Caenorhabditis elegans: one gene and its partners. The protein of the gene in region 1 interacts with the protein of each later gene in a pairwise test. Each region holds a gene or a part of one and is shown on either strand. Other genes may lie near its edges. The genes, in order: ubq-2, ahcy-1, F38B7.2 and ubql-1.

Region 1 (6,253 bases):
CATAAGTTTTTCAAAAAATTTGGCGCGAAAAATTGTGTGCGCCTTTAAAAAAACTAGTAACCAATTTCCAAGTTTTCTTCGATTTTCCAAAATTTTCTCTGGATTTTAGGGAATTTTCGTGTATCACGGGAACACGAAATTCAATTTTTGCGTATTGCACAACACATTTGACGCGCAAAATGTCTCGTAGCGAAAACTACAGTAATTTTTTAAATGACTACTGTAGCGCTTGTGTCGATATACAGGCTCGGGTGGATTAAAATATTATTTTTTATCGATAAAATATTAAAATTAAGCTAAAAATGAGAAAATAATGCTGCGATTTCAAATATTAATTAATTTTAAAAAATCGAGCCCGTAAATCGACACAAGCGCTACAGTAGTCATTTAAGAAATTACTGTAGTTTTTGCTACGAAATATTTCGCGCGTCAAATATGTTGTGCAAGAAGAATTTTAAGAATTTTGTGTTCCCGTAATATTTCAGTGTAGTTTTTCAACAGAAAAAGATTTTTTAAGAAAAAAAAAAGAAAATGGGTTACTGTAATTCTTAAAGGCGCACACCTTTCTGTTCAAAAAATAAATTAAATGTCGCTCTGTACGAGACCCGGAATCGTAGTTTTAGTTGAAAAATTGCAATTTCAGCTTTAAAATAAATTTAAAAATATAAAAATAGGCTACTGTAATTCTTAAAAGCGCACACCGTTTTTGTTCAAAAATATATAAATATATATCGTTCTTTGCGAGACCTGGCAAATCGTAATTTTAGTTGAAAAATTGCAATTTCAGCTTCAAAATACCTTTTAAAAATCTAAAAATCATATTTTCGAGACCTATTTTTTTTTAATTTCCAAATACTCACAGCCTCGGTAACCACTGCACCGGCAACTAATACTAGAAAAATTGTAGTAGACTTTGCCATTTTTTTTTTCGGCAGAATTTGGTAAACTACAGTTCATATGCCTCCTCTTTTATACAACAACATCCGGTGAATTGACAGTGGAACCGGATTTCCATATGGAGTATAGGCGAAAGGAAGGTACGATTTCAAGGAAAAGAGTGGAGGGGAAGTACTTGAAGCTTGCATGCCATCCAAGGACGGCATATGGCCTTCATTAATCTCGTCTCGGAAGAGAAAACTTTGAAAAAGCGAGCTGAAGCTGAATTCAGTGGGAAAATTGCTTTGAAACGTCACAAAAAGTCACAAAATTGGGTCACAATGACCGAATATCATGATTAAAAAAAAAATCAAAAAAATGTTCTAGATTTTATATGATTTTTTGAAAATTAGAAAAATCTCAGTTTTCCCCCTAATTCCTATTTGAATTTCCGCCAATTGGATTTGTTCGATGGAGCGCGCTTGCATTATTTTAGTTAATTAATTTTTATTTATTCTCGTTATTTGACTGATTTCCTTCATTATTTGTGTATTTTTATCTAAAAAAAGAGAGAAAAATGCAAATCGTTCATTAAAAAATCACTGAAAATTGGTAAAACTTGTGTGAAAAATGCTAATTTCAGACTTGTTGTCGTCGGAACTCATAATTTTATAGTTTTACGCATTTTCAGTGATGTTTTAATGAACAATTTTCATTTATCTTGCATTTTTCTCTCTTTTTCCAATAAAAATACACAAGTAATAAAGGAAATCAGTCAAATAACGAGAATAAATAAGATTAAATTTTAAAAATAATGCAAGCGCGCCCCGTCGAACAAACTTAATTGGCGGTAATTCAAATAGTGAAAACTGAGATTTTTGGTGGCCCTATAAGAGCTCTTATAAGAGTATTTTAAAGCAATTTCCCCATTGACGATACTCCATCCTTAAACAAAAAAAGAAAGTAAAAGAATAATTATTAGAGAATTTATTGAATTTTACAGAACAAATACAAGTGAAGATTATTAACAATATCGATCAGATTTCATTTTCATCCGTCTGTCCAGCAGCAGCTCGTGTGCACTTCCGTCGGCCTGCGCTTTCTTAACTCCTTTCTTGTCCTTCACGTCAATCGCAATATGTCGGTTCTTGAGATCAACCTTCGAGTGCTGATACATCTTCACGTAGGCCGTCTCACACTCCCGAGCGTTTTTGCGGTCTTCCACAGATCTCCAATCGACTGGGCCTTCTTGTATAGCGTCTGTACGGATCTGGAAATTGAATTTAATCGGATTTTATCTATTTATATCTAAATTAGCACTTACATTAACCATTTCATTCTCCGTAGCGGTTCTACTAGCCACATAAATATGCCCCTCTTTATTTGGAACTGTAGAGAGGAAAAGTGGTGAGGAGACGGCTTGGAACGCGGTTTTTCCCTCCTGGAAAACCAACACGAATTGCTCGCGGGATCCAATAGCTTCAGCCATGGCAACCAATTGATATTCGCTGTCCACTCCAACATATCTTCCGAATCCTGTCTTCAAACTGATTTTACTATCGTCTGGAGTTTTGACGAGCGCGAAAATTTCCTCAGGATTCGGGCCTTCTCCCTCCGGATGTGGAAATCCAATTGTGAATTTTCCGTTGTCCATTGCAGCGACATAAGTTCGCGTTGAGCCGGCTCCACTGGCAACTTCGATGGCGACGTTGGTTCCTCCTTTCATATCGAATTCATCGGCAATTTTGCGCCAACCACCATTTTCGACGGTGTCTGGATCGATTTTCTCCTTGTCGTCTTTGTTCTTCTTCTTTTTCTCCTTTCCCACTTTGAATCTGCAACGAGTGAATTAATGGAGGATTTTATACACTTTAAACTTGAATATGTCACTTACAAATTCTTTTTTCCGGCTTTTAATTTCAATCCACCACCTTTTACAGCACTGTAGTCAGCGCCTGGCATTTTTTGAAGTTTTCTGCAATAAAAAACAAAATTTTCATCAATAAAACTGTAAATTTCATAACAAAACTCGAAGAAATCAATAAAAAAACGTTCGAAAAACGTTTGAAACAAAAAAATAATATTCGAATTCTTCTCCCCCTTCCCGTAAATCCTGCAGCTCTCTACCGTACTTTCGCCGTCTCTCAATTTCGCGGCGAGACCCATCACCACGGCAATCCTCCATTTGTGTCGCTGGGCCTAAATTTTTTCCGTTTTTTTGCTCGATTTTCGCCGTTTCTCTGCGAAATTTTTCCAAATTTCTGTTCAATTTAATCAAAATATTGTTCTGGACGCTTGTTCAGCATAGAAAGTGGAGATTCTGTTGTATTTTAAGCTTGGAAAACGAATTTATTATGAAATTTCATTTTTTTGCTAAATAATTTCTCTATTCTTGAATTTTTACAGCTTTTTAACGCAAAATATTCTTTCCTCTTTGTTCTAAATGGGTAGTTACACACATTATGCGGTCTATAACGTCTTTTGTCACCTTTGAAACTAGTCTCTAAAGAAAAATCAATAATTTTTGCCCCTACGCTCTCCTCCAAATGTTTCGCTCTCGCCGTCATTTTCTGACAATTTTACTCGGTTTCTTTTCAAATTATATAATTTCAGTCATGCAAATCTTCGTCAAGACTCTGACGGGTAAGACTATTACCCTCGAAGTCGAGGCTTCCGATACCATTGAGAATGTCAAGGCCAAGATCCAAGACAAGGAGGGAATCCCACCAGATCAGCAAAGATTGATCTTCGCCGGTACGTTATTATTCAGACCTGATATATTCTTGAATTAATTTCCGGGCAAAACACCCAATATAATTTTCTAATTTCAGGAAAGCAACTCGAGGATGGACGTACTCTCTCCGACTACAACATCCAAAAGGAGTCTACTCTCCACTTGGTGCTCCGTCTTCGTGGAGGTTAGTTTTTTTCTAATGTTCAGGCATTGAGAAATATTTCTAAATTCAGGAATCATCGAGCCATCTCTCCGTCAGCTCGCCCAGAAGTACAACTGCGACAAGCAGATCTGCAGAAAGTGCTATGCTCGTCTCCCACCACGTGCCAGCAACTGCAGAAAGAAGAAGTGCGGACACTCCAGCGAGCTCCGCATCAAGAAGAAGCTGAAGTAATCTTCACTCGTTCCAGTCCATGTGTTGGCAAATAAATCGTTAATTTTAATTGAATGTCGCTATTTGTGCAAAACGTAAATTTCGTAAATATTGGATTTTTGGAATGAGATTTGTACATGGTAACAAAGAATCATTATAAAATACAGATGCTCAAATCAATACTTCGGGGAGCTCTAGTAGCTACAAAGCCGGGTCCAGCCAGGCGCCAGTTCTCATTCACAGCACTTCTGCGGAGCGAGACCCAGCCCAAAGAGATAATTAATCTGGAACGGGTTCAAGTTAGAAAGATGAAGAAGAGACGCCCAGTTGCTTCATCGGTTGTTCCAAAATCCCTACGAGAACCTTCAGTCGTCGCCATGGCACTTTCAGAATCACTGAACCTCAATGAGGTCATCATGGATGCACAGCTCAATGGAATGTATAATATAACTGCAATCGACGAGGACGCGGATGACAGCTTGCACTTTGTCAAAAAACTGGAATATACCATCAATCCAGGCGAACTCAGTGAAATTTTCGTGTTTCGAGATGGAGTTGTCGTTTTTTGGAACGTTGATTCTAGTCAGCGATCGCATATTCTACGGGAGCTCGAACGATACGCAGATGCTCCATATGACTCGATGATTGTGATGGATGAGCAGGATAGAATGTTCTATAAATTTTCAGAGCAGTACGTTTTCTCTTGAAATCGTCAAATTTGCAAAAAAAAAACGGCGCCGCACAGAAATAGAGGCGGGCGTAATTTCGCAACCCTGTGGCACGGTTTTTACTTCTTTTTTTTTAAATTTGAGTTTTAGCCTCACAACCTTATGATAATCAAATTGGATAACATTTCATTCAAAAAAAGAAAGTAAGTAAAAACCGTGCCGCAGGGTTGCAAAATTACGCCCCGCCTCTTTTTCTGTGCGACACTGCTTTTTTGTTGCAAAATTCACTTTTTTTGTTCAAAAAAGAAAATTTAGATAATTTTCTCCAATAGAAGCTTCAAAATTAGGAAAAACTCGACAAAAATTCAAAAATTTACAATTTTTTATTAATATAAGCGAAATTTGCAAAACAAAACGGCGCCGCACAGATATAGAGGCGGGGCGTCATTTTGCAACCCTGCGGCATGGTTTTTCCTCTTTTTTTTTTGCAAAATTTGCAATTTTTAACTCAAAAAAAAAAGAAAAATAAAATGACATTTTCCAGCAGAAACTTTAAAATTAAGAAAAACTCAAAAGTATTAAAAAAGAAAATTATTATTTCCAGGTCTACAGGATCCACCATTCGTCAAGATCGTTTCTACCTCTCGGGAAAACATTTGGACGCCTTCCACGGCTCGAACGAAGCAATTTTAGAGCGATTTGCACTCAGTCAGGGATTCGCTGCTTCCGTGAAAATCGGAGTCTGGGAAAGTCTTCTAAACAATCTTGCGGAGCCACTCTCCAACACTACAAAATCGCTAACTCTGGGAAAGATTCCGTGGAGCCGGAAGCAGGCTCTCATGAGATCCGGAGAATTCGCAGCTCTTCGACACTCGATTAATCTTGATTGTACCCTGTTGAATAAGGATTTCTATTGGGAACGACCTGAATTGGAGAAATATTATACGATGACGGGACGCCATTTCTCACTAGACAGACGGATAGGGTTAGGAATCTGAAAAAATCGCGAAAAAAATTCAAATTAAAAAGAGTGTGCGCCTTTAAAAAATTTTGTTTTTTTTTTAAAATATATTCCAAAAAAGGCGCACACTGAATTCGATAGAAGTTTTTTTGCTAAAAACATGAAAAAAAATCGAAAAATTTATGAGTTTTTCGATACATATCAGAATTTTTTGGTTTTTTTTACGTAAAAATCGAAAAATCTAGAGCCAGAACATGATTCACAGAAATTTCGGATTTTTGTAATCCGATTTTACGAAAAACTGCGATATTTAGAGAAAAAAATCGATTAATCTGAAAATTAGCTTTAAATTTTTAAATTTTCTTCATTTTTCGAAAAAAAAATGATCGAATTTTTTAAATATAGCTTCAAAAGTTTGATTTCTTTTATTTTTTAGAAAAAAAGTGATTTTTTCAGCAACTTGAACAAAATTTTATAAAAAATTGAATTTTGGGTAATTTTTCGAATTTCTCTTAAAAAATTGAAAAGTTTCGATGAAAAATTTCAAAAAAAAAGCCGAAACCGGTAAATTGTATTTTTGCGTTAAAAAATCTCAAAATTCAAATTCCTGTAATTTTTCGATTTTCCGGAAAATCGAAATT
Region 2 (7,152 bases), on another chromosome or scaffold:
TGAGACGATCTTTTTCTGCACGCATGAGGCTAATTTTTGTGAATCCTTGTGTTGTCATGCCGCGCACCTGAATCAGTTTATCGAAATAATATTTTTTAAATCATTTTTCGAACCTCCGTCTTCCAACTTCTTGCATGATCTATTAATTGACTGAATGAACGAGTCTCAAATCTTGCCGGCTCATTTTCCCTCATTTTCGTGTGGGTAAGTTGTTTTAGTACTGAAAAATCAATAAATGGGGAAACATTTTGCAGGTTATAGAGAAACTGATAAAAATTGAACATCATGGGAATTTCTGTAAATATAAAAAGTGAAACACGAAATGAGTGAAGCGTTGAGAGAAATAAAGAACTTATTTATCAATAGAGCGCCCTTCACCCCGACAAATTTAAAATTTGTTTTTCCCTGCTTGAAATTTCCCGGGCGTAGATCTGAAAATTCGATAAACTCACGCCTAATCAAACGTTTTCAGAATAATTTCTCAAACAATCGTCAAAGTTACTCCATAAAACATTTATGTCCAAAAGACAAACAACAGAACCAAATCAACGAGTTGAAGAAAAACGACTAAATCAGGCGATTATGTATTTGGGGGAAAAGCGGGTAGATGGGGAACAATACAACCAGTTCAAGATCATATGAAGTTTGAGGGCAATACAATTTAAAACAGTTAAAAAAATATCCGTATGGGGTAGAACCAACAAAATTAATATCTGTAGTGGTCTGGCTTGTATGGTCCGGCAACTGGAACTCCAAGGTATGAAGCTTGCTCGTCGGAAAGCTTAGTAAGCTTAACTCCCAATTGAGCCAAGTGAAGATAAGCGACCTCCTCGTCAAGGGTTTTTGGAAGAACGTAGAGTCCGAGCTTGTATTCTTGTGGAGTTCCGAACTTGGTCCAGAGCTCAACTTGAGCGAGAACTTGGTTGGTGAAGGAGTTGGACATGACGAAAGATGGATGTCCGGTGGCACATCCAAGGTTGACAAGACGTCCTTCGGCAAGGAGGATGACGTGACGTCCGTTCTTGAGGGTGTAACGGTCAACCTGAAAAAAGTTGGTTCAAACTTCTATCGATGATTGTGAATTCATCCTAATTCTGAACATTTTCTTACCTGTGGCTTGATGGTGTCCTTCTTGGTGGCATTGGTGTTGAGCCATTTGACGTCAATCTCGCAATCGAAGTGACCAACGTTGCAGACGATAGCGTCATTTGGAAGAAGCTCGAAGTGCTTTCCGGTAACGATGTCCTTGCATCCAGTGGTGGTGACAATGATGTTAGCCTTTGGTGCAGCCTCCTCGAGGGTGGTCACTTCGTATCCTTCCATAGCGGCTTGAAGAGCATTGATTGGATCGATCTCGGTGACAATGACACGGGAACCGAAAGCCTTGAGGGAAGCAGCAGATCCCTTTCCGACATCTCCGTATCCAGCGACAACGGCTACCTTTCCGGCGAGCATAACATCAGTGGCGCGCTTGATTCCGTCTGGGAGAGACTCGCGGATTCCGTACAAGTTGTCGAACTTGGACTTGGTGACAGAGTCGTTGACGTTGATAGCTGGAACCTTAAGGTCTCCCTTGGCGAGCATCTTAGCCAAGTTGTGGACTCCAGTGGTGGTCTCCTCGGAAAGTCCGCGGATTCCAGCGAGGTATTGTGGGTACTTGGCGTGAACCAAGTTGGTAAGATCACCTCCATCATCAAGGATCATGTTGAGTGGTTGTCCATCCTTGAAGACGATAGTTTGCTCAATGCACCATTCGTATTCCTCGTCGGTCTCTCCCTTCCAGGCGTAGACTGGGACTCCGGTCTGGGCAATGGCGGCAGCAGCGTGATCTTGGGTGGAGAAGATGTTGCAGGAAGACCATTGGACCTGGAAAAAGTTTCGATTTTTCAAACCAACTTATTTTAATACTAATTCTTTCAAAAAACAAGATTTACCTCAGCTCCGAGAGCAGTAAGAGTCTCAATGAGAACAGCGGTTTGGATGGTCATGTGGAGACATCCGGCGATTCTAGCTCCCTTCAATGGCTGGGATGGTCCGTACTTGGAGCGCATAGCCATAAGTCCTGGCATCTCATTCTCAGCAAGGATGATCTCCTTGCGTCCGAAATCGGCGAGCTTGATATCAGCGACCTTGTAAGCTGGCTTAGACTGGGCCATTGCGAATGTGTTTTACCTGAAATAATTAGAAATTTATTTTAATCTGCAGGACGGATAGGGAAGAGAAGCGAAGAAGTCCATAAGACGGAAATAAAGAAAAAAAATGAGACACTTTTTTGAAAGTTCGGCTGTGAAAAGGATAAAACAAGAGTTTGTGAAGAAAAAAAAACTGATTGTGAGAAGGTTATTTTCCAATTTATAAGTTGTTTTTGTTTATCAGAGAATCGAAAATAAACAAAAACAACCTTGGCTTACGTGGATTGCCAAAACATCAATTTTTAAATGGAAAAAAACAATAATCCATGTGTAAATAAGTAAACCCGAAAATACGGAAGATAGTTAGTGGACGAGAACTTTTTTAGGTTTTAGAGTTTAATATGTGGGAAAATCTATTAAATCTGGAACCATGACGAAGAAATTTACAACTAGTCGGTCTTTTAAACATAAAACAAAGCGAGGAACTTTGCAAAAACTTTTCCCAAAAAGAAAGCTTTTTCGAAATTTCTACTGTTTCGATCAAAGGCGCAGTGATTTTTCTCAGTGGGTCCCGCCACGAAGGCCTAAAATTTGGACTTACTCGCCGCGAAACGATGATTTTTATTTGAAAATTACTAAAGAAAATTTAAGAAAAAAACGTATTGACACATGAGGTGAGATATGCATCCTGCGATGCTCGTCAACCGTCAAGACAGCGTTATTTATGGAGAATTGGCGATAAAATCTTGATAGCCTTGTAAAATGTAAGATTACTTTGGCCGATAGCTTTGGTAAAGTGACCTTCCTGAATTCCACACCACCGCAGATTTCTTTGAAGATTCTGTACGACCTAGAAAAGGATATCACGTTTCAGATTAAATTTTAGGATTCGTCGATGATAGATTTCCCCCACTTTCCTCTTGTTCTAGAATGATTCAGTACCTTTTCAGTCTGAAAGGGAAAAATCACTTTCTTTTTTTTTTGCTAGCCCGTATTCCTACGGCGTTATTTCTGGCCCAACGGCGGCCTTTTATAGCACCCAAATGCCTGTGCCACATCAGTCTCCGCCCACTTTTCGTCGTGGATGTGCTGCGTCTCTCATTCTCCGCTTCTGTGTACTTTTCTATGTTAGATGTGCAGGAATGATAAGAGCTTGAGAGAAAGCAGAGAAAGAGGAAAGCGAGGGAAATTCAAAAATTAATTTTCTATTTTTGACACATTTTTTACAATGTGGCGCCTCAATTTGGATAATGTAATTTTTCATGCAAGACGTCGACCGGGACAGTTTCAAAATTTCTAAGTGATATGTTCTGAAATATAACTGTGTTCTGAAATATAATTTTGCTCATTACAATTAAAACTAAAATTTTCTTTGCAAATCTCGTTAAATTCTAGAAGAATCTATTAGAGATCTATGTATCTCTTACTTTCTATCATCCAAGGTCACTTCTTATCGTAGTTCTTTTTTCGAAATGCCCTCCGCCGCCAATTTCGTAGACAATTAGGTTTCGCTTATCAATTTTGCAAAGTTCAGGTGGTTTTAATGTCTAATAGAATTCTATAAACTTTTTAATGTTTTAATCTCCTAGAATAGACTTCATTTAATTTTCCAAATAAAATTTCTTTTGGTTTTTCCAAAATCCTCGAATGCTGAGAATCCGGTGCAGTTTCTCTGAGATATCTATTTCCCGGAAAATGATTTTTGTAATTTAGTATCGGAAATTTTGGCAAGGCGAATTTTTCTAGACCCACTTCGACCGTATACCTCATCTGGAATTCCAGACAGCTGATCAGCTACACATCACGCCATTCACAATGTCTCATATTTTATGTTTCTTCTCTTATCTCAATGATTATATCATGGTGATCTTGTTAACAATCGGCGCACGAGAAACAAAAAAGGAGTAAAAGAATATTAGTGAAAGGTAAAAAGGAGAGATTTCCTGAAAAAATCTTTTAAGAAAGTTATTTAACAATTTATAATTTTAGGATGGGAATAGGTTGGGACGGGAGGAAACGAAGATCAAATGAGAGAATCAGGAGAAAAAACATTTAAAAATGAAATAAAAATGTAGAAATTCAACAAATAAAAATAAATAAATTATGTTAAAAGGCGTAGCGAGTGCGAATGTCTTCCAACTTCTTTGAGATCTGAAAATTAATTTAATTTAGGCTATAATATGGAAATTTTTTGTAGTTTTAATAATTTTCTGATCACTTTCTCATGTTTCTGTTGTCTTGAAATTGCATAATCTCGTTAGGAATTTCTTGTTTCTTATCTAATCCATTAGAAATCTCCGAGATTCCAATTTGAAACAAAATATTCATACCTCGCTGACAGTTTTTCCCAATTCTTCAGCAACATCCTTCTGTTTCTGTGTATCCATCAAGCTGAACTGCTCGCAAATATCACCATCGATTACACTCTGAAAATAAATTTTTATTTCATTTAAGAAATATTTTTAAATCAAGAAAATTGACGGTTTTGTTTGAAAACTTTACAAAAAATGGCCAAATTATTGAGAGAGTTAAACTCGACAAAACCAACCTTGCATGGTGCGTAGTAACTTCTATAAGCAAGATGATCACGGCCACACAATGGCGGATATTCACTGCGAACATGCATTTCCAGATTTGTGAAAAAGTCGACTTCCTGAAAATAAAATGAAATATTCAAAAAATTCCATCAAAAATCTTACATCTTTTGACATGAACGAAACCAAACATCCAATAGCTCCACCAATTGTTGTATATACTAATGCTTCATTTGCTCCAGGCATTAATGACGTCTTCTGAAGGCTTGTAATCGTGTCACCGATGAAGAAATTCGAAACAAGTTCGACCTGAAACAAATTATTTCTCAAAAAATAATTGTAATAAACCATTTGAAAATACCTTTTGTGAAGCTCCATTAAGCCATCCACGATCCCAAACACTCTTCGATACAGTTGGATCATCCTGTACATCTTCATTAACTCTTTCCGGAAGACGAACAACTGCCAAATTTCCGAACTTATCAGCAACAGCTACAGTATGATAATCAAGAACACAAACACATGTCACGTAACGGGGAGTTGTGTCATCAGCGAATACAACCAATTGATTATCCTTCAAAAATTCATTTTCATGAATATATTCAACATAACATTTATAAAAGTAAATATGTATTTCTAAATTGCCTATCACTTTCTGGAATATTTTTTGGTGGAAAGAACACAAACTCAAAAATTAATTATAAACTGGTTAAACGGGAAGAATAATGACAAAATTGCGATATGAATTTTTTTTTTTGGTTTTTTTTTGTCCTTCGGCTATGTCGATTTTTTAGCACAACCGAAAACTCGACAACCCGACAATCTGGAAAACTAAAACAAAAAATATAGTTTTCTGAAAAACCGAATAAAATACAGAAAAAGACAAAACTTATTTTCACTTTTCTGAAGTTCTTTTTTCGAGTTTTTAAGATAGAAAATTCGCGCGAAGAAAAAAGTAAAAATAGGCCCCGCCCATTTCTTGGCATTTTTCACTAAAATGAATTTTTCTCAATATTAAAGGTGGGATATCTCCTGAATTTAAAAAAAATATAGCAAATGGCCAGTATTGATAGTAATTTTAAAAAATTTTGAATTTTTTTTGAAATTTGTATAAATAAATGATTTATTTTCAGAATTTCCAATTGAAATTGTTTGAAAAAAATTGAAAAAAAAATCATGAAAATCCTAGTTTTTTAAACATTTTTCGGTCATTAAGGTTAATTTTCTATATTTTTCTATAAGAAAATTTCATCATACTCCATTTTAAGATGTAATGAGTTTCAAAACCTACTCCTTTCCGATATCTTAAAAAGTGAACAGATTCTTGGCTATCCGAGACGATGATTCGTTGTCCTGTTGATTGAATATTGACAATTGAAACTGGGAAATTCTGAAAATTTGTAAATTAAAGTACGGAGCCCATATTTTTTTTGTGGACAATTTTTCAAATAGTTATTTTTTCCCTGCAATGTTTTCATCCAAGAAACCCATTATTCACACGAATTCTTTTTGTTCAAGCCACCTTCATTTTTTCTGAGTATTCAATTTTACTAACTAGTTCCCGATTCTCGTCATTTTACCTCCATTCATTTTCCCTTGGGAGATTCTTCGAGCCCCCAGTATCATCATCTTGTAAACAAAATAAATAGAATACATTTATATGCTAGAGGGGCATTGTCTCAAATTTCTGTTCTCGAATTTATTTCCTGTCAAAACACGAAATGTTCTCATTTTAGAAACTATCAAGTTTTCTCTTCACAAGAAATTATGTTTTCTCTCATAAATCTTTCTAAAAAAATTACATGTGGATCTCCTAAAAGATCCTCAGAAACGAAATAAATGAGCGATATTTAGACAGACCACAGGAAAACCGAAAACACAAAAAATGGACCGGAAGACGTGTCGCCCAACATTCTCCTGCAATTTCAACATTTTTTCTTAGTCGTTGTATTCTGCTCTCCGAAATATTTCGCCGGTCGTGCTCTTTTCTTTCTCTCTGAACAATTAAACTTGTGTCACGTCTTTCTTTTTCTCCTCTGCTTCAGAATTTTCATACTTTGTTCAGAGACAGTCTGCTCCTCGTTTTCAGTCGTTCAGAGTCTTAATTTTCTAGAGTTTGAGGAAAATCATAGATTCGAGATGGCCCTGAGAAACTAATAAGCCTGACTAATTTTGAATTAGCAAGTCCCGAAACTAAATAAAAGGCGAGGAAACATAAAATAATCTCGTTCTCATTTTCTGTTTTTCGTAGATCCAATTTTATCAAATTTTACAGAAAAAGAATACGGTAAATAATTCCGAAACAATACATTCTTTGTCTAAAGTATTTAGGTTTAAAACGAGAGAAATTTGAGAAAAAACAGGAAATAGGTTCTTTCGTAGTTTTTAACAATAAAGGTATTTATGTGTTTCACTCTCTTTTTCTATGGGAAGAGGATCCTCTCAGTTTTCTTTCAAATCTTATCCTCTTCATTCAAAAACAACCC
Region 3 (7,396 bases), on another chromosome or scaffold:
TGGGAAAAAAGATCATGAAAAGGAAATGAAAAGAGCCACGCTATTTCACCTGATTTAAAAAGAAAGTTGGATGTGCGATAGTTGCCTTAGATACCAACACTGCATACGCATTTTCTGAAAGCGATTACGTCAAGTTGTCTTTTCGTAAATCGAATATTTCAGATCTTCTGAAAGTCAGAGATAGCTGAAGTGATGTTAGAAAGCATATACATGAATGTGAAAAACATTTGCACTTCGGTTTTTTCTTGCTTATGATCTTTTCGCATGGAATAATCACACCGCTAATAATTAAAATAAGAAAACAAATCAATATAGCATAGTTCCCTCATTGAGTTGAGCGGTTGACAACTAGTAAAAATCTTTTGAATAAGATACTAAGATGATTCTGAAAAAATGTTGGCTCGGGCTCCAAAATCACGGACTTCGGTCGCAACTTCATTTTTTCAACGAAGTTGAACAAAATTGCAAGTGTTTTTTGTTTATTTTGATCATGAAAATTGGTAGCAGAAATTACTTTATGAACAATTTATATACATACATCTATAGGCGTCTGCCAATTAAATCATTCATAAAAAGTGTTTATTGCATATGAATTCAACAAACCAAAAGTTCACAATATTACTAAACGAGTTTCATTAGCCCTGCTTAAATGTTACACAACTGGGGAATAGGATGACACTGTAAACAATACTTTTCCTTGAATAACTGCCTCGTAGGATGGAGGTGAATTCAAGCATGCTGAATTATAGGACGGAGGCAGATCGACATCGTGAAGCATTAGCGGAGGAGACGGCGGAGAGCACTCAAACACTGGAGCGGCGGGATTATTTGTTTCGTGATTGGATAATGACATTCTTCGTTGATGGGCTATTTGTTTTTGTCTTTTTATCAAAAAATCCCATAAAAGTTTAATGGGATAAATTAGAATGAAAACAGCTATTAAAATCAATCTAAAATAGAATTGCAATATATTTCAATCTTAAAAATGTTGAAAGTCACTTACATTATATTCCAACAAGATTGTTTCAATTCACATTCTAATCCCGAACAGGTAGTGAAAGAAGAAGAACAATGAAAGAAAATACTTGTTGACCGAGTCATATTGGGAAAGTATGTCTTTAAAAAAACAACGTTAAAAACTATTACTTCAGAAAGAAATCTAGAACCTTTGACAATTGAGGGGCATCTAGAAAACCAAAAAGTGCGTATTCACAAATACTATCGAAACCTTTCAAGTCATCATGATTATCATCCCAATAATACATATATTGATCAAAATAAAATGCCTTTTCTGGATGATTTATGAAAATTTCATTTCCGTTGTATTCAACAAAATCCAGATGATTTATGTTCGTTGCGTACGCACTACGAACAAAACGGTAATAGTTGTTTTCATTTTTATATCTTAAATTGATTAAATTATATTTTTGAATGAGTAATGCCAAAATCAAAATCAACATGCAGATTTGTAAGTAAACAGAGCTCATTCGCATGCCCACAAAAAGAAAGCAGGAGTGTTGCCTTAGTTACCACTGCTCTCTTACCTATTTGAATTTCACACTGCATTGATTACGTCAAACGATTTCAGTAAATCATCGTCGTAAATTATTTGAAAAAAAAAACGTTTTAACTATTCAATGGATTGAAGTGATTTTGTAGTTTTTAAATTTAGCTTTATTATGAAATTTTGAAAAATTATAATTTTGAGTGTATTCAATTTTTCCCAAACTGACGAACTCCAAATTCAATTATTTATTTTTAAACTAAACTAAACAAATCCTGATTATAAAACAACCCGTTAGCACAAAAACGTTATTTTGTTTAAAACATGCTCTATGGAAAGTATTTGACCTCGTGCACGTGTTGTACAGAAGCACGTCTTTAAACTGGTAAATACTTGAAGCACTGATTAAGAACGTGAATTTGATCTTGACCGAGAATGAGAATTTGATCGAGATACTCTTCCATGTCGAGCATTATGGTATGGCGGCGGTATAGCAGAGTTTTGTGCATTGTATGGTGGTGGTGGAGATCGATGTGCTGGATTTGTTGGGTCCATTATGTGGAATGATGTCTGACGCTCAACACGTTTCATATCTCTTCGTAACATTCTCTTGAAACACCAAAAGATTGAAATGAAAATTAGAAGAAATCTGAAATCTCATTATTGGCCGGAAATTCAAAAAATAAATCTTACATTGGTGGTACAAAAAGTCGGCTGTCAATTTTGCATTCCAATCCCATGCACGTTTGCGCAAAATGGCAACGATAAAATAATGATTTCATTTGTGTATTTTCAGGGGAAAATGTCTGAAAAACTTCAATTCCAGTGCTTAATCAAAAATGAAATTTCTCACCTCATACATTTCTTTTGAATCAATCATCCAATTTATACGATATTCGCAAAGATTTTTCACTCCTTTCAAATCAGCGTGTGACTCATTCCAGTAATATTTATATTTTTCGAATTCGATTGGCGTATCGGGATGAATGAAATAAAATTTGCCAGTCTTATTTTCTATCACATCAAAGTTATGTGATTCCTCTGCGAAGACGGTTTTGACAAATCGAGGGTAGAAATTTGTGGAGATGTCTCTGAAAATTTTAATTTCAAGAACAAGGTTTGAATAAAAGTTCTGAATTTTGGAAACATGCATAGGACTAACAGGAAATTGTTTGTGTACTAGAATTTTCTTCAATTTTAAGTTTTTTAGGGCTCATTTTTCAACAGTTGTATCTCTTTCATATTCACCAAAAGCACAACTTTATTATAGACAATTTAAAGTAAGAAATAAACTTGTGAATCTGCCAGTAATAATTGACCAGCCTATATGGTGGGAATTTATTAACTGAACAATCAATAAAAAATGTTGATTTTCTTTCAACTTGAAAGCTTGAAAACATGAAAAAAAAACTTACGCATGATACGTGACTGTTCGTGGTCTTTCTCTAACAATTCCAAGAATACCAAGTGGTAGCATCAATAGAACAAAACCGGGAGTATAATGCATGTAAATAGATTTACGATATAATCCAAATGACTATATCAAGTGATACTTTCCACCCACTGAAGCCAGAACGTTCTTTTCCTTATTGACGTCAAGATCAAACAACTTCACAGAAGATTATTTAATGAAATCACCGTTTTTCATCAAATCAATTGATGAAAAGTTTAAAGTTAAGAGGAAAGAAAAGAAGGGGTAAAAACAGTGATGTCACTTGCGAGAATATCACCGAGAACCGGTACTTTTTGGCCTTCGGGGTCGAATTGAGTGGCAGGAAAACTAATATAAGAAACAACAAAGACCTTCTTGAGACTTAATTCTTGGTTGGGTGCATGATAGGTTGGACACCAAAAAATTACTGAAAAATGCAGATAATAGTGGTATCTAAATGTACGCACTGAGATTAAACTAATGAAAATTTTCTTGTCGGAGAAAGACTGGTTTGTTGATCAAGATTTTATCAAGCGATGTTGATAAGGATTCGATAGTAGGTTCATAGATTCATCTTCGAAAAAGGTTAAATTTAATCAGAATTGAATGTTAAATTTCACATTTAAAAGTTATTTTGAAAATAGTACGGTCAAAATTTAAAAAAAAATGAACAGTGCAACCAGCAAGATAACTTGTTTCGAGGATTTTTTTTTAGAGAAATCACGTCTTCATTGTTTTTAGAGAGTAAACTTGTTCCTTGGCAGACAAAGAACCAAAAAAGAGATAATTGATAATTATAATCTGCTATATAAAAAACAATATGCATATTTATTGATTTGTGGAATATAATTGATAAACATATTTTTAAAAAATTTCAGGCTGCTCGGCATTCGCCGCCAGATTCTTGCCCATGTTTCACAGCTTTTAATCCAAGTTTCGCCCAAAAAAAATTAACATGGATTAGAAGCTGGCCAAACTTGGGCCACACTTGGGTCAAACTTGGGCGATGCGTCAAAAAAGGAAAAAAGTCAACCGCTGTGTAGCCCACTCTCACTCAGCCCAAGTTTTGCCCAAGTTTAGCCCAAGTTTAACCCAAGTTTAGCCCAAGATTCACCTGTATGTTGAACTCCGATCGTTTTTCCCGTTGTGCTGATCTCTTATAAGTTGTGCTGATCTCTACAAGTTGTGCTGATCTCTTATAATTACCTGTTGAGCCATGATGGTCGCGCGAGAATATTTTATTAATTTCAATATTAATATTGCAAACTGTTGTTTCTACTTACGCGTAGCCATTCTCATAGGTTTAGGTTAATTTTCAGTCAGTACTGTATTCGATAATGCTAAATCATAATGAATGAATTTCAGTTTTCTATTGATACCATTTTTCTTCAGAACCCAACATTCTGAACACTCTATCAAGTATCAAGTGCCAAGCAAATTCTCGAGGGGTCAGTATTTCAGAAAAGCTTTTCGAGTAGTTCAAAATTTTGATTAAATGATCGGAGAATAACAACTTTTAGCTATCAAAAATTGATTTTAAAAAATTAAACTCAAATTTAATCACAACAGAAAACATTCTTCACGGATTTACTTTAAATTAGCAAAATAATAATGATATTTAAACAGTTCCAGTCACAAAATTCCTATTTTTTGTCCGCCGAGGGCGCCCTCGGCGGCGCGCCGCGTGTTCAAAGTTGGGCGAGACTTTGGCGAAACTTGGACCTAAGTTTGGCCAAAGTTTGGTGGGATAGTTTGCATTAGAAAACTTAAACTTCGGTCAGACTTGGGCTAAACTTGGATGAAACGTTGGCTAAACTTGGGTAAGAAGCTGCTGAGAGCTAAAGTTGGGCAAGAAGCTGCAGGTAAATGCCGAGTGACCACTTCTGAAAACATTGTTTTTAGTGCAAATTACACTGAAAAATATAAGTTAACAATTTTAACCTGTCGCAAACAATTATTGGAGATCAATCACAATTTGTAGAAGTTTACTTATTTCAATTTAAAAATCTGTCATTCAAGATAAAGTTAAAGTAATTTAAATTTAGTTTTAAATTCTGCCAACTACACAAAGTGAAGAATTTGTAAAATTGTAATTTTTTTGAATGGAACCGCAAATAAACAAATTTCTTAGCTATTGCGATTGCGGTAATTTTTTAAAAACTTGTGTAGAAATATAATTCTGTAATTTGAACCATTTGTACTCGTTAGTGACACTACATGAAAAATCAACACTGGGTTTTGGAGGAGGCAATGATGATTTCATCGAAAATATACACGACGTCATTTATACGCATTTTGAGAATCGTTTGATCTTGACACTTTGCGCACTGCATTCCAAAGTTGATACCAGAAGTGTCGCAAAACTTTGTTCGTAATTTCATTTTCAAAGTTCAAGGTGATTCATAGTTAGTTCAAAATATCAATGAATAAACCAAATAATGGAACACTTTTGTTACTAATAAAAACTCATGTTTTTACATGCCTGCTAATTTTTCAAGGCATGGACGCTTTTTTGAAACTCTAGAAAAATGTGATGTTCGTCGAAAATGCGATTTTTCTGTAAATTTTAAAACATCTGGGTATGCCCAAACCAGCTGGTCGGTAGAGATGCTGACGCCAATAAAATGCCCCAATGAAATGGACATCTTCTAAACCCCTCTAATAATAGGGGCTCCATAGCCGTTGGTCCGTACTGTCTCAAAAAATTCGGATTATCTGGGCAAAATTATTTTTTTACTGAGTTTTTTTGCGAAACAAAAACAATTTTAAATGTATTTTCCTAAGAACGGCTTAAATTGTTTGAAAAAACTTTTCCCAGATATCTGCTTTCAATTATTCTTAAAATTTCTGTTTCAAATAAATCAAATTAAATTCAAAAAGAAGTGAACTTTATTATAAAAGTTATGCAAATATGGGAGAAGAAAAAAAAAGACAAATCGAAATAAAAAACATGGGAAATATAATTTTAAAAACAGTTTTCAGAAAATAAAATGGGAAAGGGGCAGCAGAAACCGGGATTTTCTCATGATAAGGACAAGACGCAAATCGAGGAAGATGGGGGAAAAATGATTGAGACACGGAAAAAGTATGAAAATTAAAAACTACTCGACATTAGTGAAACTATGTTTGTTGTACAAGTTGAAATTAAATTCTAGCGAACGAGGAACAAAGTTTAAATATAGAAAAAAATGCGCGGTGTAAAAGCAGTAAATTAGAAAAGAATTAGAGGGTAGTTTGACGATAAAAAACGATATATTAGTTGCACTTATATAAACTTAAAATTGTAAAGAAATAATGCAAAATGTATACAGCTAGTTGACAATGTGTGAAAGAAATGTTTTTTGAGTAGAAAGAATGTTGGGAAAACGGATGAATAAATTAGAAGAGAAGAGAAAAAAAAGTTGGACTGTACGACACAAAAGGCTAGCGGTGGGATGGGATGGTAGATGTACAAATACATGAAATTTGAAAGAAAGCATGCAGATTTCACAAATCAAATAAGTTAGATCTACTCGGAATTTGAACATTATTGTACAATTTTGTGGGTTAAGGCACTCAAAACGTCTCGAAAGCGCATAAGTTACATAGGTACAATTGTTCGGTTTTTGATGAAGAAGTCGTCAAAATTGAAGTAATAAAATAATGAAGAGATTTGATTGGGAAAAGAAGGACATCGGGCTGAAAAATATTGATAAAATGGGGGTGTCAACTAGCGGCATAGATACATTTTGAAGTAGGGGAAGTGGGAAGGGGGCACTAAACTATACATAGAAAATTGAAAACATAACAAGAAACGGTAATTATTAGTATACTCGATATTGGAAAGATATTAGGCTAAACTTTGGTGGAACCTTTCTAGAAATCCCTGAAAATGGACGGTTCTCTCGGAATAGGAAGCAGTTCAAATTTTATTGGGGATTACTGAGCTGCGCAAAAACAGGCAAACGACCGGGTGTTGACACTGGGGTTGTGGTCGCTGGTGACGTTTCTTCTGTTGTTGTTGACCATTTTGATGGCAAGAATCCTAAAATAAAACAAATTAAAAATATTTACGTTTTTTTTTTAAGTTTATTTGTTCACAATTGCTAAAGATTGCAAAATTAAAGATTGCCTGAGAAAGGAGTAGATAATGAATCTTCAATATTCCATTGACAAATGTCATTCAGCAAGTTGCTGAATTGGCTGTCGTTTCTGAAAATTTACGAAATTCAACAAATATCAATTGAAGTTTGTAAAAACTCACAAATTTGACTGATCGTACGATAGGAATCTACTCGTCGGAACACGTGGTGCCGCATTTGTTTTCTGCTGTTGCAACTTGTGTGGTGAAGCGGAAAGGAATCCAGCAGAGAATGGTCCTGAAACAGCAGATTCTGTGTATTTGAACAGATGGTATATCTATGTAGAATTTCGTACATGCCTGCCTGCCAATTGTTATATTGTAACTAAAAACGAACATA
Region 4 (11,116 bases), on another chromosome or scaffold:
TTATTCAATATTAGCACTGATGTCAATCAAAAAAGAGAGATAGAAGCACATCTTCTTCTTCTTTCTCTCGCCTTTCCCTTCCGGGACTGACGACGCAGTTGTCGATGCTCGTAAATATTGTTTAGAAAAGAAGGCCCTGTTCGGGTGATGGCATGTTACACCTAACATTGGAAACGAAAAGAAGAAGAAAGAAAAGAACGGTCGTTTTTGTGAATTATTGCTTTTGAGAAGCATCGGAAGGCCGTCCAGAGAGGTGATGAGACAACTCGCGCACCCTTCAACCAATGAAACATTGGGATATTTATCAATTGAGTCGATTCAAATTTTATGACTCGAACACAGACGCGCCACACATTTTATTTTGAAATTGAACTGCAAAGGGTTTGGATGAGTTGGTTTGAATTATGCACACAAGTTATATGGAAATGTGGTATATCGTAATTCCGACAATTTCTGGAATGCAAACTGAAAGGCACACGGTTTCAAATGGATGGGTCTTGCCGCGAGAAAAAAGTTTATGGTAGCAACTTTTTCATGTTCATTTTAAAATTAAAAAAAATACTGAAGACCTTGTTACCAGCCAAGAGAAGTAGTTTTTAAAGAAAATATCAACATCACAATATCGAACATTCACCACTTTCTCAAATGTGTTCTTAAAGGGGCATGGATTTATTTAGATGGGTCTCGCCGCGAAAAAATAGCACTGCCTGATTCAAGATAGTGTCTAATTCATTATAACCTCAAAACTTCTGTCATAATTTTTTAAATTCTCTAAAGAATGTATTCTAATCTGGTAAATTGATAAAATAATGGCCTGAAAATAAAAAAGGGATTCGTAGATAAAAATGGATTGTCGCATTCAAAAAGAGGACAATGAATTAGCAGATTGCTCTGACGGCTCCGAGAGCACATCTTCTCCAGACTCCACCCAATTGAACTGTTCTTGCTTTTCTAAGACATCTGTCAATAAGAGGATTGCCAGGAAGCTCCAACGAAGCTCGAATTTATGAATGAATACGCAATACCAAAAGAAAATAACTTATACTTGAACTGGTACGGAATACAAAAGAATAATTTTAAACTGGTGGAAGGGTGATACTAGAAGAACGAATATACTAGTTGTTCACATTTTAGAATAAAGATTTAAAAGGATAACCTTTGGATAGGCGAGAAGCAAGATCACAGACCAAGTTAAGTTTACAGAAAAAAATGATAGTGGAAGGAATCGGCGGAGGGTTGTGTGTGTGGGAAATAGGTATGTGTGGCAATTGGGGATCTATGGAGAGTTGAGAAGACGTTCGACAGCCGCGTTGAGATCTCCGAACGTTGCGGTCAGCGCTGTAAATCATACTTTACTTATACACAAATCAAATATTATCAACATACCTGCCACATTTCTGGCACGATCCGAGAAGCCCATCGATTGAAGTTGTTCGAGTTGTGATGCATAGGTTTGCTCCGGATTCACTGGTGCAGCAGTCGATGAGGGCTGAAAATTTCTCACGTTAGTGTCATTTGTGGGTTAATCAATCAATCATAGTCGCCGATCAGCGGTCTGGGAGCTGGGAGGAACTAAAAGAGTTGCGATTTGATCGAAGGTACATTTCTCTCTTTTATCGACCGACTCATTCTCCAAGATATGATTAATGTGTCATTTGATGATTGCGACGTGTATTCACAACAAAAGAGCTCAGCGCTTTGCGAAGAGCAACAGTTGGCTACCACTACCACCATCATCTCAACACCTGAGGGAGAGCAGGAGATAAAGAGACATCACACCGCTTCTTCATATTTCGGTTACTAGCACTAATCACTCAGAGCGATGCGGCTGTCTCAATATTGAAGATTTGACACGCACATATATCGGTTTTGACATTGCCTCCACAAGGGATCATATGAACTTAGGAGTCTTACAGTAATTGAGAAAATGTCAAAATTGATTATATGAATTTTAGATTATTTTAGACTTCTTTTAATTTATAGCTTCTGGGGAATCTCCTAAAAAAGTATTGGGTTTCGTTTTTAAAACTTTAGTGGTCACATGAAAACTTTGAAAACTCAATTATTGTTGTGCTAGAGGCTCAATTCCAAATCCATCCATCTTTGTATTTGGAAGGCAATCATTCCAAAATCTATTCCCAAGAAACAAAAAATATGGTCTATAGGAGAGCGGAGCACTTGATTGAAATGATGCACATACATACCCACACAGACACAAATTAACATTTCCTCTGAGAATAGGCAATTTTGAAAACATGAGGGAAATGCACATAGCATGCGTAGAGCTGCTTCTTAATTGTTCATTACATATTACGAGTCAGTGCTACGATGTTTATCTTCTAAAAACGCATTTTGCTTGTCATGTTTCGAAACAAATGAGTGCGCGAACAACGAGTATCTGTGCATTTATATCTATGAGTGTGTTGTTCTCAATAATAACAGAGACAGGAAGAGGAGCAGTTGGACGAATCGACGCGTCATATGTGTTTTTGCATGGGACCCCTCTTGTTCTTCTTCCTATTGTGACCAGCACTACCGCATCTTTCCGTTCATTCGATTTATGCATTACACCATACTTTGACGAGTTCGACAACATGCATTAAGTGATACAACGTGTCCTCCACTCTCTACACATGTCCCTACAATTCCATCAACATACTAATTAATGAGAAGAAATGATTGGACTATGTTTCGGATTTAGCTATCGTAATTTTAAGGGAACTACTTTAAAGGAGAAACAATTTTAGATATTTGAATTTATTGTTTATCCTTAATGCAAAAATCAAGGTTTCAATATGATCTGAGCAAGAGAAGCGATGTTCTACTATAAAATAACTATATCACAGGTTTGATACAGGTGTTCGAAAGAACTGTTTCCCATGCAACCAGCCATCTGTCTATTGTAAGAACAAGAAAACCAATCGAATGCCTATTCAAAAGACACTAAGTGTTTTGCCACTGAACAGATCATCCCATCGTTTCGGACGTCGGCTCCTAATAGACTCCACTACTAATCACTTCGAATATCATTTGCATCGGCTCATCTTAACAAAAAAGGCGGGAAACGAGAAGACCGGAAGATGTTCGCCAGCTGCCTCTTTATGAAATGAAATACGTGTATGGCACGGCGCGTGTTCCACACAATCGCCGATTAGACAATTGTTGAATGAATAAAAGGGGAACGTCGCCGTCCTTTTTCCTATCTGCTCTCATCATGCGCACCAACCTCGCGCACTATTCCATTACACAATATTCCTGGAGACACATCGTTTACTATGATCTATGCAAATGTCGTCAAAACAATCATCTAATGAGACAAAAGCTGCAGCAGCAGTTATAACAAAAAGGGGGAGAACAAATGTTGTGGCCAATTGCTTGAAACATACGGGATAAATTTGATAGCAGCGTAACCGCTTACAAGATGAGATTATAGTGACATCCGATCCGTGGAATGTGTGTGTGTGTGTGTGTGCAAATACGTCGTCGCGCATCCTAAATATGCCACAAAACATGTGCTCCTAACAATTGCGGGAAGCAAAAAGAGCAACACTGATTTGCTTATTAAAGGGGCCGAAGAAAAAAGAAATATAGATCAGATATCGTAGTAAAACTTCTCGAAAAATCAAGTTTCCTAATTTGCAGTCGAAATTGGCAACTACCTAGATACCACCTATTTTAATTTTGGAATTCGACCGAAAATAGGCAATTATTCAAGTATTATAATTTAATTTTTTGTATTAAAACATTTTAGGGTGTCGAACATGGAATAATGCTCTAAACTTTACAAAAAGCTCAACTTTCCGAAAATTTGGCATTGTGCGTACAAATAACCCCTAATGTAGTGAAGATCACATCTACTAAAATTGAAGGTTCTGTGATAAGAAAGTTTCCTTTCAGCTTTTGTGTTGCCCTCTCATCCCAAAAAAGATCTGATTATTGAACATAGTTTTTTTTGCTGTGAAATGTGTAATATTTATGTGAAGAGACGAGCCTTTGTCGATCAACGTTTTTATGTGCGCCTACTAATATCATTTTATGTGGGCAATGCACATACATACACACACTCATCCACGTTTTGGTATTGAACAAAATTAATCGAAAATGTAAAATGACATATAACATGTATGTGCCAACAATGTGTTGTGTGATGCGAGAGCATTCGGTCCAGTAGTGCAACGTCGACGAAAATTAAAAAATCTGATCTATTCGTATGGATAAGATGCCCGCCTTTCACACTTCCTATGTCAAGTGATGAAAACGAAAAATGCAGAAATTATTGCTTTTGTTTCCAATTCAAATTGTTTCGTCTAACAATCATCAAAAATTAAAAGACAAGGAAATGAGGGGCCTTCCTCTTTCACTGGGGGAACTCATGATAAATCTCCCACACTTCTCTTTTCTAAGAGTATATTCTGTCTGTAGAAAGGGCCGAGACATCAGAATTTCGAAACAATTTTAGATACGCCACCGGGGTCTAAATGAAATTCGATATGATAATTGCATTTTCTGAGCAAACAGGAAAAGATTTTCGATCGTGCACGCTGTCATCAGTTTGCCATCGTCTTCGTCACTTTATACTCATTATCTAACATTTATCCATAGCATGTCAAACGAGCCGACTTTTGCTTCTGCTCAGCGACGACGGCACAGAAGAAGCAGAAGACGGAGCATCGTCTTGTTACATTATTCAGAACAGACACACGATGACTTCTTCTTTCTTGCTCGCGCACTTCCGTCGCTGTCACAGAGCAAACGGCGACTCGGCGCAACTCATCAGCTTCTAAATTTGAGCAAAAACTTTGATATATGAAATGAAGGGGGAACTTCATTTGATGTGAGGCTTCAACTAATCATCCAAATTTTCATTTCAATTTGGAAAATTCAAAAGACCACGGAATCGAGAGGGAAGTATAAAAAAAACTATACTATGGGAAATTATTGGATTCGGTGATATTATTCTAAATCGATCTGTCGATTGAATTAGAAAGGAAAGCTTAAAATAGTTCAATTAGCTGAAAAAGTTCTTTGAACCCATGATGTTTCAATAACTATCATACAGACAATAGAAAGTTTTGGCAATTGCCGATTAAAAAAATTTTACCACTTCGATAAATTCACAATCCAAAAATAGGCTATTGTCGAGTTTTCAAATTTTGCAATGAATAAAAAATAAGAAAAACTGATTTCTACAGTAGTAATGCTTTTTTTTTAGCTTTTTAAATAGAAATTTTCTCTTTTTCAGTTCATAAAATCTTATTATCTCGTTATTTCACTCTGAATATTTTTTTTTCTAGACAATTCGAGAAGGCCGAACTTGAAAATAATCACCTCTGCTCCCATAAGAAGTGACATAAGAAATCAAATATTCAATATACTCACTCTTCCTCCTCCCATATTCATTGAATTGAATAAATCGGCAAGTCCGTTTGCAGAGTTTGCTCTGAAATGAGAAAAAACTATCAGCTATAAAAACTATCAACGAACCCAGCAGAAGATGCATTGGCATCAGAACCGAATGCTCCACCTCCCATTGCTCCAGCTTGGAAAAGGCTAAAATAATTTTAAATAGTTTTTGACTAAATGGTATTTTCAAATACTTCAAAAGTTGAGGTGCTTCTCTGCGAAGAGTTGAAAATCCCTCTTGAATTTGACGGAATGCTTCACTGACCCGTGGGTTTCTCATTGCCTCCATCACAGATGGATCAGACATCTGAAATTTTGAAATATAAATTTTTGTAAAAATTTAGAAAATAAACCATGTTGAGCATTTGTGGAAAACTTCTACGAATTCCTTCGGAAATCTGTGGGTTATCACGAGCCGATGGAATTTGTCCAACAATCTGAACTTACATAATTATTTTAAATTTTTTAAAAATGAAACTAACGGAATCAATGAGTCCAGGATTGTTTGACATATTTTGACGAATTGAATTGATGACTTCTGGGCTGAACATACTGGCCTGCATACTTGGATTGGACATCATCTGCTCCATTAGGGAGCTGATGCCAGGTGAATCAAGCAATGCTGAATATGAATTAAAACATTATTAACGGATCACTAAACTATGAGGATATTCGTGACGTTTAAATATTTTGTTTAAAATTATAATAAATGGTGGGCGGCAGACGTAAAATTGGGCGAATTGGAAATTTGTCGTTTTGAAATTTTTGTTGGAAATTTTTTAAGGAAAATGTTCAAAAATACATTGCTGAAAATCTTTTTTCACATTTACAATTTTTTAATTTTTTCGGCAAATTGATATTTGGCATTTGCCACTCGTCATTGATTATTATATGATTTTAATGTAAGATTTTTTTTTACTTAGAGAAATTTGACTCAGAAAAACTTACAATTAAAGTCAGCAGAACGATTATTCGATTGATTATTGGTAGCTTGATTGGCGTTTGAAGCCCATGGATTTGGCAGAGCTTCATTATTTTCTTGTCCAGCACGATCGACACGTGGCTCACTGCTCTGATCACCTCTTAGAGAAGCAAATGGATTTCCACTGAGCGAATTTGTTGCACTATTGAGCAAGGGCTCCTGTACATCATTGTACAACCGTTCAAGAGCAGCTTCTCCTCCGGGAATTCCCTGAAAATTGAATGTTTCAACATAAAATAACAAATCCAACCGAAAAAAAGGAAAATCTGTTGAAATTGGAATTCAAGACAAAAACCCCTGTAGCGCGGCTGGGATGGAATATATAGTTTCCAGAAATGTACCCCTGATATTAAAAAAAAATTAGCAATTTTTTGCCATATCAATTAAAATAACAATTAATTACTTTTAATAGTCATATTTAGACATTTAGATCGGCATCCTTGATCGATTTTTTAAAACTAAAACTGAAAAATCAGAATTTTTCGTTTTTCGATTTTAGAGAGAAAAAACCGACTTTTTCAATTTTTAAAAAATGGTATTAAATTTTGGTAATTTTTCTTTTTTTTAGACAATTGTTAGATAACATTAAAATGTCTTCGTATGTTTTTTGTCACCAACATATATGACACAAGTTGTGTGTCACACAACTTGATAAAAATCAAATTTTATTGATAATTTTCTGGACTTTTTTTCTTCGATGTTTCGATTTTCGCTGAAAACATTGAAAAATTGAAAAATGGCATCCCTTGATCAGCATAGCTATATATAATGTACCTGAAGATTCCTAATAGCTTGATCATGATTCCGCATCATTTCTTGGAACATATTTGGATTACGAATCATCTCCATAGTTTGACGCATTACATTCGGATCGTTGAGAATGTGTCCAACTTCTGGATTTCTCTGAAAATATTTATTGTCGATATACGAGAGAAATGTGGAAGATTAAAAAATTAAATAATTTTTCGAATCCGAAAATTTACAAAACAAATATCCAGGAAAAACTCGAACCTCAATCAATGCTTGGAATTGTGGGTTGGATTGAATAATTGTTCTCATAAACTCTGGATTTCCTAGAAGTTGTTGTGTAATTGGATTATCCATAACTGAACGCATAGCATCTGGATTGTTTAAAATATCAGCAGGTGATCCCATTCCTCCCATTGCTGCAAATGGATTATTGGTAGGATTCGGTTGTGAAGAAGGTGTTGGATTGGAACTTGGTGCAGATGAAGCTGTTGGTGTTGCAGCAGCCGGCGCTGGTGTTGGACGGGCTTGATTTCTAATAACCAAGTGGACGGTGTGACCATCAGCGATTTCTAAATTTTTGTTTATTATTTTTTGGAACACATTTTTCAACTTACTGTGCTGTGTGAGAGTTTCTTCATCCTTCAGAATTTTTCCGGTGTAAATTATACAAACTTGTTCTTTGTTCGCAGTTGGAACGAACACAAGAACCTTGTCTTTTAGCTGTAAAATATTAATTAAACACTGTGATTTACACATTTAATTTATCAAAATGGAATAATCACTTGAATTTTTATCTAATTCTCAAGAGCAAAATTTTATTTTTTAAATAAAATATAACATACTTCTGAAACTGATGCATCCGCAGCAATCTCAACGTCATACTTGTTCGACGGTGATTTCACGTGAACTTTGATGAGTGCACTCTCTGTAGCCATCTTAAATTTGAGAAATATTAAAAAACCGACAAAATTAAATAAAGAAAAAGGATTGAGAGAATGAGAGGCGGAGACGGAAAAGAACACGTTGCATCGATAAATCGAGAATATTCTCGAAGCGCAAAAAGAAATTTCGCAACTATTTCAGACCGAATAATGTAATAATGTAATGGGTCTCTTCGATAGAAAATAAACGAAGATAAACGAAGACACAATTCTTCCTGACGCGCGAGCTTCAATATGCACGTGATGACTAATTTGGTTTCCATGGTGATCTTTTTGTTCCTTTTATCGATTCAAATTTACAATAAAAATAAGAAATTAAAGTTCTAAATGGCGCTCCAATCAATTTGCCTTCCAATTTAACGTCGATTCCTTCTATATCAGGTCATAAAATGAATAAAAAACAATGATCAATAAAATGATGCGGTAGTTGCGTAAATCGACACATGATGGTCGCCTCTTCCGTGCGAGACCCATTGGGCGGAGTTCTCACAAGAATGAGGCCAATCGGCACACAACACGCGTGCGACAGGCAGTGAACGACGTGTTTTTGGCTCAGTTCCTACCAATCCCTGGTGTACACACGAGCGCCACGTGGACCTTAACAATTCGGGTCTATTTTTATGCTTCTGCTCTGCATTTTCTGGATTATTAGTAATAATATCATTAAAAGTGATATAACGCTCCCCGAGTCTATATAAAATTTCTCCTCCATACAACACATGTTTTTTGGCTTTCTTCTTCTAAGCTTAAAATTTATAGTTATTTACTAACTGTATTTTCCACTTATTAAAGATAATTTTTGAAAAGTGTTTGTAAATACTTAAAATTGAACCCGAAACAATCTGTATTTGTCCATTCACATGTGATTCACAGAAAAGAATGAAAATAAATGCGAAAAAAAAATAAATAAAGTAAAGGCGCATTGATTTTACCGCTCGCGGTATCTCGCCACGAAAACACGTTTCGCGTCAAGCGGCTCACGTTTTCGATGCGATCGCGGTTTGTTAATTGCGAAAACACCTTCCCTTCTCTTCAATCGTTCGCTCAATTTCTAGAAAATATTTCTGAATAATCTGAAAACCTCTAATCTTGTTTCTTAGTTTTTAACTTTTTGTCGGTGTTCCCGATAATCTCTCGCCCTCTAAACTCACTCGATCGATTGTCGTTTATAGGTAAAGTTTTTAGGTAATGATTTGGGTCCAGGCAGCTTTGGTCGCCTCCTTCCTGGCGTTCGCCAGTGCTGGAGGAGCCGTTCTCGAGTATACCGACGGAAACTTCGATGATCTCATCCAAACCCACGACATTGCTCTTGTCAAGTTCTACGCTCCCTGGTGCGGACACTGCAAGAAAATTGCCCCAGAGTATGAGAGAGCTGCCCCAAAACTCGCATCTAACGATCCACCAGTCGCTCTCGTCAAGGTAAGATAACCATACTTATTTACACAGCCATCGCTCATATATCGATCGCAGTGACACTGACAAATACGCGAAAGCTGATAAAACAGCAACGAAAGCCACATTGAATAGAAATATATGAAATGCATACAAAGGATTCTTTGAATTTATTGTTCTAGTCCTTATGCATATAGAAACATTTGTCCGTCATATATATTATGTATGCTGGTCCAAAATGGTTATTGTGTATTCAAAAGGCCATTGACAATGAGATCGGCTCGACATTTACATTTTCCCACGCATCAAATCACTGTTTGTTGTCAGGTCTTTACTCTACAGAATACGGACATCAATTAACGATAAGAGCAAAAACACCAGTCGCGTAGCAAACAGTTTTATCTATACCACAAACGAGTGCGATATGGTAGTAAATGAAACAAAAGATTATGTTTTTGAAGTTGAAGATTGTAAAAAAAAAGAAACAAAGATTTGAACCACGGTTTAGTAATAGGAATCCAGCCCCCCTTTAAGAATTCTCAGTTTTGAAACAGTAAATTCAATATTATCTCGAAAACGATCTATCACATGTGCATTGCCATAGAGAATAGTATATGTTTGAAATTTTTGAAGCAGTAATTGACAGACTTTTTCAATTAAACATTTTACGGTGTTCCTTTTGGCAAACAATTCCTCTTCTTTTCACGTGTATCTTTGTAAAATTCTCGAAATCTCTTTCCCAGTGTTATCCGAAAAAAGGCGGAGCTTGCCGCAAAGACCCAGAAAAATGGGCGTCACGCTCAAGTTTTCGAGAAAATATAAGATCCACCTCCTTGCGTTGTACGGCTCTGACACATTTTCCGGAGTTTTTTCAATGAAAAGAGGCCATAAAACTTCATTTGACCGACTTCGTTGTAATTTCGTGATTCTAAAATTAGCAACGCATGTTATCGTTAGAAAACAAGTAGTTAGGGATGGTCACCAAGGGTGTCAGTGTCCCGTAAAAATTACAAAAACGGGACAGTGGGATGTCCCGTTCCCGCGAAAACACCCAAAAAACGGGACAACGGGACATCCCGTTCCCGTGAAAACGCTCAAAAACGGGACAGCGGGACGTCCCGTTCCCGTGATAATTTTAAAAACGGGACAACGGGACGTCCCGTTCCCGTGAAAACACCCAAAAAACGGGACAACGGGACACGGGACTTGACACCCTTGATGGTCACCAAATCATGTGCTACACAGCACCCTAGATTGCGGGAGCCGGCCCTGTTGTCGTGAAAATGAAAATGTTCTCCAATTTCAATCAGTCGATCATGTTTTAATTCGAATTGAAAATATGATATTTAAAGCTAATTTTAAAATGCTTGAATTAGCTTGCATTTTTTTAAAAGTTGAATTTCAATAATTTAAGTTTTAATATCTCTGAAAAGGAATAGGATGATGCATGTGAATGAAATACTGATTTCTCTGCCAATATCGCATCCAAGAGAGTCGATCAAAAATTAGTGATGCAGCCTCTAATAGACTTGCCTGAATAGTTTCAAAATTTTCAAATATATTCTTTATATGTATTTTTTCAACTGCGTCATATAGTTTCCAAAGCTAAGGGTCATTCGTAGCTTAGTCTGGCATGTGACACTAATAG

What was found.
Region 2: the proteins of ubq-2 (region 1) and ahcy-1 interact in a two-hybrid assay, tested with the Caenorhabditis elegans proteins (one large-scale study listed by BioGRID).
Region 3: the proteins of ubq-2 (region 1) and F38B7.2 interact in a two-hybrid assay, tested with the Caenorhabditis elegans proteins (one large-scale study listed by BioGRID).
Region 4: the proteins of ubq-2 (region 1) and ubql-1 interact in a two-hybrid assay, tested with the Caenorhabditis elegans proteins (one large-scale study listed by BioGRID).

What each region holds. Positions count from the first base shown.
Region 1 is NC_003281.10:12,975,760-12,982,012, reverse strand, and holds ubq-2 (Ubiquitin), read left to right. Parts: upstream 1-3,489; 5' UTR 3,490-3,491; coding exon 3,492-3,630; intron 3,631-3,707; coding exon 3,708-3,794; intron 3,795-3,843; coding exon 3,844-4,004; 3' UTR 4,005-4,050; downstream 4,051-6,253. Other genes in the region: dbd-14 (DB domain-containing protein), read right to left, coding at 861-920; frg-1 (Protein FRG1 homolog), read right to left, coding at 1,901-2,146, 2,201-2,711, 2,771-2,838; ZK1010.2 (DUF155 domain-containing protein), read left to right, coding at 4,151-4,674, 5,256-5,636.
Region 2 is NC_003279.8:6,831,489-6,838,640, reverse strand, and holds ahcy-1 (Adenosylhomocysteinase), read right to left. Parts: upstream 2,173-7,152; 5' UTR 2,157-2,172; coding exon 1,935-2,156; intron 1,867-1,934; coding exon 1,111-1,866; intron 1,043-1,110; coding exon 707-1,042; 3' UTR 501-706; downstream 1-500. Other genes in the region: dpf-3 (Dipeptidyl Peptidase Four (IV) family), read right to left, coding at 1-67, 114-287; teg-4 (Splicing factor 3B subunit 3), read right to left, coding at 4,239-4,283, 4,463-4,558, 4,681-4,785, 4,832-4,975, 5,028-5,240, 5,958-6,056. UniProt on the Caenorhabditis elegans protein: Adenosylhomocysteine is a competitive inhibitor of S-adenosyl-L-methionine-dependent methyl transferase reactions; therefore adenosylhomocysteinase may play a key role in the control of methylations via regulation of the intracellular concentration of adenosylhomocysteine.
Region 3 is NC_003283.11:11,539,633-11,547,028, reverse strand, and holds F38B7.2 (CX domain-containing protein), read right to left. Parts: upstream 3,427-7,396; 5' UTR 3,012-3,426; coding exon 2,920-3,011; intron 2,658-2,919; coding exon of another isoform or gene 2,596-2,657; coding exon 2,358-2,595; intron 2,311-2,357; coding exon 2,198-2,310; intron 2,154-2,197; coding exon 1,910-2,153; 3' UTR 1,739-1,909; downstream 1-1,738. Other genes in the region: F38B7.10 (CX domain-containing protein), read right to left, coding at 653-950, 1,004-1,116, 1,167-1,493; ccch-1 (C3H1-type domain-containing protein), read right to left, coding at 6,845-6,960, 7,048-7,127, 7,180-7,294.
Region 4 is NC_003279.8:7,018,936-7,030,051, reverse strand, and holds ubql-1 (Ubiquilin), read right to left. Parts: upstream 8,071-11,116; coding exon 7,978-8,070; intron 7,856-7,977; coding exon 7,750-7,855; intron 7,705-7,749; coding exon 7,397-7,704; intron 7,289-7,396; coding exon 7,160-7,288; intron 6,596-7,159; coding exon 6,352-6,595; intron 6,026-6,351; coding exon 5,886-6,025; intron 5,841-5,885; coding exon 5,757-5,840; intron 5,711-5,756; coding exon 5,598-5,710; intron 5,551-5,597; coding exon 5,485-5,550; intron 5,441-5,484; coding exon 5,380-5,440; coding exon of another isoform or gene 5,359-5,379; exon of another isoform or gene 5,329-5,358; intron 1,490-5,328; coding exon 1,387-1,489; intron 1,339-1,386; coding exon 1,277-1,338; 3' UTR 978-1,276; downstream 1-977. Other genes in the region: pdi-3 (Protein disulfide-isomerase), read left to right, coding at 9,265-9,495. UniProt on the Caenorhabditis elegans protein: May play a role in the ER-associated protein degradation pathway (ERAD) possibly via its interaction with ER-localized proteins ubxn-4 and cdc-48.1 and/or cdc48.2, providing a link between the polyubiquitinated ERAD substrates and the proteasome.